Nothobranchius furzeri: one gene and its partner. The main gene of each other region encodes a partner of the protein of the gene in region 2 in a complex. Links are inferred from orthologs where the notes say so. Each region holds a gene or a part of one and is shown on either strand. Other genes may lie near its edges. The genes, in order: vamp8 and snap29.

Region 1 (4,533 bases), about 28 Mb from region 2:
GAAATTTTTGGGAAAGAAAAACAGAAAATTATTTTAAAAAAGAGGTAATCAGTGGATGCTGGGAAAGGCTGAATTGGTAGAAAGAGCTGAATAAGAAAAGGGCAATAGTTAAGGTCACACCAAAGCCAGCCTGAACAGGTGAGTTTTCAGCTGCTTTTAAAGGAGACCACTGAGTCCACCGATCTCTGGGGGAGAGAGTATCGCGTCAGACCCGTGCCACAACCCGTGCACGCGCATTGGGTCCACAGTGCGCGTGTGAACGGGACTCGCGAGCGAAAATATACATGGCGAGAGGTCATTTGTGCACTGAGAGGGAGCAAACTGTGTCTGTGAGCGCACAAGGATGTGCACAAGTGACAAACCTGCGTGCGCGCGTTGCCAACGAGCACACGGCAGAGGAAAACGTGCGCGCGCGGCAGCCTCTCTGCGCGCTCGGCAGCCTCTGCGCGCTCGGTTTCTAATTCCGCTCGCTCGGCTGTGAGGAGTTTTGGCACTCTGGAGGCGTGGCCTGTGGCAGATCTTCCCTGTCCTCTGATTGGTTAGTTTACTCCGCACTTTACTCTCTAGCTATCTGTATAAAAAAATCTGAGATTCAGCAGTTGCTGTCATGGCTCAGCTGGGAGAGCGGGTGACTCTCACTCTGGAGGATCCAGGTTCGAGTCCGGCCAAGGGACATAGAGTTGATGTCATGTTATTCTTTCCTAATTCCTGTGATATTATTTTACAGTTGTGACCGTTCAACTGTCATTAAACGTCCGAATGTTTGCTGGGCAGTGTTTTAAAAAGTGCACATAAGCTAGATGGTTTTAACCAGGTAAAAATAGACTTGTGGGTGTAGGTATGTCCAAGTTTAAAAAGTTCTTGCCTCATTAATGTATTGTTTATTTTTTTCAGCATTTAATTGACAAATTATCCTTTCAAATAATTAATTGATGAGTTACATAATTGTCCATTTAGAATTGTTGAATGGACTGAGTCAAGTTTGGTGCACTTTATATATTTCAAAACATGTTTTTTTTTAATTATGCATATAAATAATTTTAATGTTAATTTATTGAAATATTTCTATTTTTTCATTACCTCACCCTTGTTTTGACAAAAACAAGATCTTGCTGGATAATATCACGGAGAAACTATTTGTTCACAGTACATGGCTCAGTGAGGATCTGTGTACCAAAGGAGGAGATGCTCAGAAATCTGTCTGCAGATTGTTACAACCCAGACTGGAAGTGGTGGGCTGTAATAAGAAAGGAGACCAAACAGAGGAGTGGGGGGTTCAACAACTGATTTATTTAACCAAAGTAAGGATTTCCAATAATAAATAAGAGGTATTCACCTTCAATACTAGTCATTAAAATGCAGCAGTTGCTGTACTGGTGTAGTTCAAAGTGGAGTGCATCAAATAAAACAATATTAACATAAAGGTGAGTCGTGTCATTACCCCCCCCACCACCACAGCTGGAAAAATCCCTAGGGGAAACACTAACAGCTGTAGCTTAGACATCTCATGGTTCTTAAAGGAGATGTACAGTTGGATGCCATCTGCATAAAGATGGTAGGATTCATTTAAAAGAGCTCAGCATGTGCTGGAGAGGAAGCAGATGAAGACGAACTTGGGTCTTCCAGTAAAACCTGATTAAGAGGAAATAAAATTAGATAGCAGGCAACTACAAAGCTGGCACAGATGTGGTCTCTATGATTTAAAAGGTAAATTTAAAGGAAAACTTTCATTTGATTGCAAAATAAATGTAACCTATATCCTCAGTGAGCCATTTAAAATGCCGACTCTTTAACTAGTCAAATGTGAAATTCCCTTAATCTGTGAGCACATGTGAGATTTGAATGGAGTGTAAATCCTGATCTTTCAGCTTTAATCTGTTCTGTCTCTATTATAAAGACTGAAACACCTCTGTTCCCAGCAGCAGCAGAGGATCAGTCCTGCTTCAGATTTGCATGCAAAGCTTTTCTCACTTGGTCACAAACATTTAACAGTCAAAAACCACCGTTAGATATCCAGCTGACCAGAATAAAAAAACATTTGTTTGTGTCCTAAAGTGGTTCAAAACTACAGAAATTGAATCCAAGTGCCTCAATGATGATGCCCTGAAAAAATAAGATGATACAGATCAGTTTATCTTAAATAGCAACAACATTACTTTTACATCTGTTGTTTGCACGCCTGCTTAGAAAACACACCAAACGTATGTGGACAGACCAAGGTTTCAGTCCAAAACAAATTATTTCCACCTTCTGAAGTATCTGATCCTCTGACCTCTCCAGCCAGCAGGAACAAGATGCTACAGCATCTCTGAGCTAAGTTAGCTAGCTAAGTTTGAGCTAACAAACAGCTTTAAGCTGCAACAGCGTTTAAAACGCTCATTTAAACACCGACTTCACACTTTCAAACATTAACTTAAGTAAATGTCCAACAGCAGGACCGCAGAGCAGCTTCCGAGTGGACGCCATTGTTCAGGGAAAACAGGGTCGTAAGTTACAGGTGTCCCCTCAACTCAAACATTATTCATTTTCTTCATGTGACCTGAACAAACACACCTGCTCCTTACATGGCGCCTCGTTATGGAGTCGCTGCAACAAAACAAGAAAAACATCACCTACCGGGTCCGCGTCCATCCTGTCAGAAACTAGATCCTCCTTCAGAAGACCCACAGACACGGTTCTTTAGTTTAAAACCTTTAAAATGATGTAAAACCTAAAAGTTTGACGCTCCTACAGGTGTCTCTCTCTCTCTCTCTCTCTCTCTCACTCGCTCCTCCTTGGTTTCACTTCCTGTTTTTTTCTCTTCACTCTGAATTCCTTCGCTTCGAGTTTTCAGCTCAAACCCACATCCGGTTTCATTAAAGCGATAAACGTGAAGCTCATTAAACGGTTTAAAGTAAGTTTATTAACATTTACAAGCATTACGTTAGAAAAGTTAAATAAAATAAAACGGTACTACATTTGTTTCATAATTTAAAACAGGAGATAAAACGTGTTAACCAAATCACTTGGATTTTAATTAAGTTTTTTAAACTGTGTATTATTTTATTTATTTAATTATTTAATGCTCTTCCTATTTTTACTTCTGCGTTTATACATTTTGTTATGAACCTGGGCCATCGTTTGTTTTATTGTGAAACATCTATGCTTTTATTTAGAAGATGTACTCCTGTATTGTGTCTGCTGTTGATAAACTGAGTGTAATTACCTTTCAAGGGCACATAGAATATTTATTCATCCGTTTATTTGTCTGAAGCTTTGCTGATTTGTGAGTCAGTGGTGAGAGTTGGATTGTGATTTAATCCGATGCTCAACTAAACAAACGTCTGCAAAAATAAGAGCAATTCAAACATAACAAATTCACATTAGCAGTAGGCCTAAGTTTTAAATAAATACTTTTTATTCACCACAGCAGACATCTGTGCTAAACTATTATAATGTAATAATAGTTGTTACATAGAAAGTGGTTCAGCTTTTAAACAAGACAATAACACTCATAAGTGAGTGCTGTGTGTGTGTTTTCCTCATAGGTTTTAGCCTGGCCTGCCAGACTGGTCCTGTTTAATCCTGCAGAGAGTGTCTGGTTCCTCACAGGCAGAGAGGCACTTGAGGGGCGGGACTAGGAAGCTCAAAAATCACCAATCACAAAAAAGACAGAAATGCAGACAGTACCGCGCAATGCAGTAGTTTTTTAGCTGTAGTCAAAAATGGCGTCTGGCGACAGCGCCATCTTTCTTAGAAGTAAGGCTTTTAGTGCTTCTACTTGTTGTTTTAAAGACGTGCCAAAGTCATCTAGAACAGAGGAAAGAGCCGCAGCGAACTCCCCATTCAGTCGCCATGTTCTTTATTTATAATTGAACAAGATACATATTCTCGTTGAGGATTACAGTCTCGTCAATACAACAGCCAAAACCAACAGCTTAGTGAATAACATGACAGCATCTATGTACAACATAAAATAGATACGTGAAAACAAAAGGGACATAACAAAAATAAAAGGGACTTTACAAAAATCAAGACACAAGACGGGGGGTTAATGCAAACACAACATCCAAATAATACTCCTGCAAATACAAATACAATCCTGTAGCACAGAAGATAAGAGCCTAATAGTCTAAGACCGAGAGATGAGATTTTGTCATGAATTGTAACAAATCGGTCTGATTTTAGATGCTTAAGCGAGGAAAAATATTGTTTAAAGTCATTCATAAATCTGGCAAAGGAGGGTGTTTGTGACAAACTCGGCGTTGTGGTGTGTGACGAACGCTACTCAGCGCTGATTGGCTCGGTTAGATTTCTGGGTGGGGTTATTTAAATAGCAGAGTTCCCAGACCCTTTCTCTGGCCAGGCACATTTTTCCTTCTGGTTTTATTTGTAATGCATGCCTATCGAAAGCTGTTAGACTAAAACATTCATGTGGGTTTCATTTTCTAAGGTCCAGTTGATTCGATCCAGCAGAGAAACAGAAAGGCCTACTTTCTATTTAAAACTAAGGTTGGGCAGACATTTCTGTTCTTGTTTCTTAAATGTTCACAC
Region 2 (4,372 bases):
TGTGGTGGCACCTGGGGTGGCCAATCAGATTCCAACGGTGGCATTTGCTACCCCAGGCCACTCCCTGGCCACGCCCCTGGGCATTATAGACCCACATGGCAGCACAAAAGAATGCAAATGGTGAGTTTTGCATCATGTCTCCAAGAATCGCAACTAAAGTTAAAAGACATTCTACTTTTATTTTTAACATTAACTTTGGTATTTCTCATCATGTGATTAGAAAATTGCACAATTTAGTCAAGGTTCAGTATAATATAACAGAAATGAATTATTTTTACCCAAATTTTTATCAAGGGTGTGGTGAGCCTCCTTGAGGTAGCTGTTCTGTGGGTATCCATTCTGTCCGGATGAGCCAGAATCCAAGGATGAAGCTGCTCCAAAACCTGGAACACAGGAAGGAGAAATGATGACGGCTGGTTCATGGGATGATTAAAACATACCCAGGTTCATGTGCCAACGCCCACCTCCTGTCTCCAGTTTTCTTAGATTGGGGTGGCTCGCTTGGTATTTATCTTCATGTTCTCTGCTGCTGGACATGGCCTTCTGTAATCTGAGACAAAAAGTACAATTCAAAACAAGAAATGAACTGAAATTTCCAGATAATGATCATGTTCTGGATTCTATGATAAATAACGTTTGGGGCTACTTTCATTAAACACATGAAGCACCTTAGTACATGTGCTAGAGGTGAGGGAGGAGCTACACCTCACCTGTAGTAACCTCTGAAAATCCTCCAGCAGTGCTTGGTTTGTAAATTCAGGGATACTTTAGAAATAAAACAGTAACTTTAGGTCAACTACTGATACTATGAGGTGTTGGTGGCACAGGAGCTCAGTGCTCGCCCCGTAATTAGAAGGTTGCAGCTTCGAGCCCCGCTCAGTTTGTCGCTGTCGTTGTGTCCTTGGGCAAGACACTTTACCCCCCTTGCCTGCTGATGGTGGTCAAATGGACCGGTGGTGCCAGTGCTCGCTCGCCAGACTTGCCTCTGTCAGTGCGCCCCAGGGCAGCTGTGGCTACATCGTAGCTCATCCCCACCAGGGTGTGACTGGGTGAATGACTGTGATGTAAAGCGCCTTGGGGGGTTATAGGACTCTAGGTGGCGCTATATCAAATACAGGCCATTTACCATTATACATTTCTAACATTTTGTAGCGTTGTAGCTTAGAAGGTCTAGTAAATGAATCAGTTGTATTAGTATGAAGTCAGATTTCAACTTTTAATCCTAATAATTATGATTCTTTAAATGCTGTAATATTTTATAACTTCTATTCCATTAAGCTTTAGAACTTGATTTGCATTCAACTTTAAAATAAAAGTTATTGAATATTTGTAAAAATGACAATAGCAAAAGCAGTAAAAAGTCTAAAGTGTTGGACCTGCAACAAATAAGAAAATGGTATTGATATGACAGCAGCACAGGAGTGACTGAAACGTACCGTTCATTGGTCTCGTAGGCTTTTGGCTCTTCAGGGGTTGGCTTTGCATCTGGCTTACCCTTGAAGTAATTGACAAGACCTCCCCACACACTCTTGATAGAGTTAATATGCTTTTGGCTGGTTTTCAGGTCCTGATCCATACCCTCCAACATCTTGTCAGCCCTCTTCAGAGCTTCACCTTGTCGCACCAACTCCTAAACACATATACACATAAAAATAAATGAGCAACCGAGGAAGGATATTTATGGATGCGGTGAAAGAGGATGTGAAGTTAATGTGAGGGTAGAGAATGCAGATAGGAAAGGACTGAATGACGACAGACAATTCACCATAGGGACCATTGAAGGCAAAAGCCAAAAGAGAAAGAAGAACATTAAAATAAATGAGCAAAAAATGGATGAAGAATGCATGGATAGATGGATGGACTTATACCTCTGCAGTTTCCACACCCATCTTCTCAGATTCATAAATGAGACCAAGGGAACGATGGCTGCTATCCACAGCAGACTGTGCTGTGCGCATTACTTCCTGTCGGAGATACCTCTGCCTCCTCTCAGCGTCAGACAGCCCGCTGTCATCAGCTTCACCATCAAAATCCCTATTTTTAGGCTTAAATCCTTCCTCCTCCTCGTCATCAGCAAATGGATTGTGAGATTTTGGGTAGGCCATCTGAAAGTTAAACGCACAGTGTTGACAAAATAATATTATCTAAAGTCTTAAATATATGTCAACAGGATTAAGTGTGCTCATCTGCTGTATAAAAACCACTAAGCAAAGCTTTTGACATTAAGAAAGTGAAATAATATCATGTTGTGAGAAACTGAAATAAGTCATAAAAGAAGTGATTAAAATCCAAATAAGTCCTCATAAGTTACTTTTCTAAAAATACACGTGAGAACACCTGCCAAGATAGATAATAATATAAAAAAAGTAGCTTGTAACGTATTACAGTCCCTACAACATAACGACAACTTACCATTAGCATCAACAGATAAGTTGACACATTAATCTGAAAAAAGTTTAGCTGTATTTTGAAAAGAACTCTTTTCTACTTTCAACAAGTTTCAGTCTTCACAGAAGAAAACATGTTTTAAATGATGGGTGGCTCCAAGCAGTTCACTGCTGTATGGCACCGGTATTATACAACCTAAAGACAATAATATTTGTTGTTCTGTGTTGTTATTTAATAGGTGTTGGCTAGCATGTTCGAGAAGATACTGCTAGCAGAACTAGCCGACCCACACGTCAAACAGCCACACCCGAGAGACAAAGCCGCGGTGTAGTTTGACTGTAAACACCTTTTCAGCTATGAAATAGCATGTGCCAAACGACACCCTAAAAATGATAATTAAAACGACACTCACCTTCTGACTGTCGATAACTCAGTGCTACAGATGAGCACTGTGTCACGTTGGATGACGTAGTGGTGTGCCGTGCGCAACAAAAAGTATAAAAGTACTCCTCGTGTATAAAATAATATAAATAAAAATTTAAAATATAAAAAATTCGGATGGGATATGTTTAACTTAGCTTACTTGGTTAAATAAAAAAAAGTAAATAGCTTCAATATATTGAATGGCGCAACATGGAATTGTCCGTGTTGGGCTTCCGTCCGTACTGCGGTATCCTAACGCTAGTTGCCGCTGCTCTGCCGTTTCCTCTTATTGTTGAATCATAACGCTGGCTTGATGGAATCGTAAACATGTCTTTAATGGGAGGCAGTACGAGAGGGTTTTATTTCAACACAGTTCTATCGCTGGCCCGCTCACTTGCTGCTCATCGTCCTGCCCCCGTCGACAAGGTGAGGAAAAATCCAGAGTAATTTTCTCTTGACAAAAATTAGCATAAAATTAGCTTAGGTCGGAACAGTAATGACCACTGGTGTTTAGGGTGTTGCTCCGCTTCCGCACGCCCAGGCGGTGCCTTATTTTGATTACAGACAAGATTAACGTTTGACAGTTCCGTTTATGTTTGCATTTAGAAGTCACCAGTACGGGAATTAATGTTTCCCTCTCCCGTATCAGAAGATAAACGGGCTGTTGCTGCGCTTGTGTGGTTCCTGCTACTGCATCACTCAGGCGGAGTAGCCAGCCTCGCTGCGGTCAAACAGGTTTACAGATGAGGGGGGAAAGTGCTCAGCTGGTTGTGGATACTAACCTGTTCAAACTACAGGGTGGAGAATGAAGAAGATTTACTTCACCACTTAAGAGAAGCTCGCACGAGAGTCGATTTGATTGATTTTGTTGAACCAACTATCCACGCACTCCATTATCTATTGTGTATTTAGAGTTTTAGCTAGAATATCAAACAGGTAATAAAACATGGAAAATTCATGTGTATTAATAACGGGTTGAATACAGTACAAATGTTTTTTTTTTTTACAAAAATCAGAAATAATTTCAGTTACATTGTTGTAAAATTTCAGTTATAAGACAGGTAAATATTGGATCATGCAGGTGTCGTAAAACAAGAAACACTGCAACATTTGAGACTGATACTATAAAGAAATAGCAGAACCCTTGTGACATATTATTGACTTTTAGATATAAAGTTTATTTGGAAAAGCCACAAACCTTTAATGTCATCTTTAGGTTTTAACTTAGTGATGCATTTTATGGCATAATTACCACAAACTTCCGCAAAACCCCAGTGTTTATTTGCTCCCAGATCTCGTAAAACGTTTAAATACTATATAATAACTTTAAATACTGGTATTTTAATAATGCAATGTGCAAGTTCAGTTAGTGAAGGAAAGTGTAATTAGATTGAAAAATTTCATTGTTTTGAAATGACCAGATTACCTTTTTTCCTTCTCTTTCGTGGTCGTATAACATAATTGCACCTACTAGACAGATCAAACAATGATGTTCCCACAAGCTTATATATGCGCTTCTCTTTATTAGTCACTCTTATTAACCCCGATGCGCCCATCATTG

What was found.
Region 1: the proteins of snap29 (region 2) and vamp8 are in contact, whole or in part, in a crystal structure (PDB 4WY4), measured with the Homo sapiens proteins. The link is inferred for Nothobranchius furzeri from reciprocal best matches to the Homo sapiens genes SNAP29 and VAMP8. Residues at the interface, in NP_004773.1 of Homo sapiens: Leu206, Leu209, Ser210, Leu213, Leu216, Lys217, Ala220, Leu221, Met223, Gln224, Ile227, Glu228, Gln230, Asp231, Leu234, Leu237, Thr238, Val241, Asp242, Leu244, Asp245, Ile248, Lys249, Thr251, Glu252, Val255, Arg256, Leu258; in NP_003752.2 of Homo sapiens: Leu16, Glu19, Val20, Val23, Ile26, Met27, Gln29, Asn30, Arg33, Ile34, Arg37, Asn40, Leu41, Leu44, Lys47, Thr48, Asp50, Leu51, Thr54, Ser55, His57, Phe58, Thr61, Ser62, Val65, Lys68, Phe69.

The regions. Positions count from the first base shown.
Region 1 is NC_091757.1:27,702,915-27,707,447, reverse strand, and holds the start of vamp8 (vesicle-associated membrane protein 8), read right to left. Parts: upstream 2,818-4,533; 5' UTR 2,632-2,817; coding exon 2,617-2,631; intron 1-2,616. UniProt on the Homo sapiens protein: SNAREs, soluble N-ethylmaleimide-sensitive factor-attachment protein receptors, are essential proteins for fusion of cellular membranes.
Region 2 is NC_091757.1:55,818,819-55,823,190, forward strand, and holds the start of snap29 (synaptosomal-associated protein 29), read right to left. Parts: upstream 3,058-4,372; 5' UTR 2,801-3,057; intron 2,106-2,800; coding exon 1,869-2,105; intron 1,631-1,868; coding exon 1,437-1,630; intron 551-1,436; coding exon 465-550; intron 384-464; coding exon 279-383; intron 1-278. Other genes in the region: pi4kab (phosphatidylinositol 4-kinase, catalytic, alpha b), read left to right, coding at 3,139-3,237. UniProt on the Homo sapiens protein: SNAREs, soluble N-ethylmaleimide-sensitive factor-attachment protein receptors, are essential proteins for fusion of cellular membranes.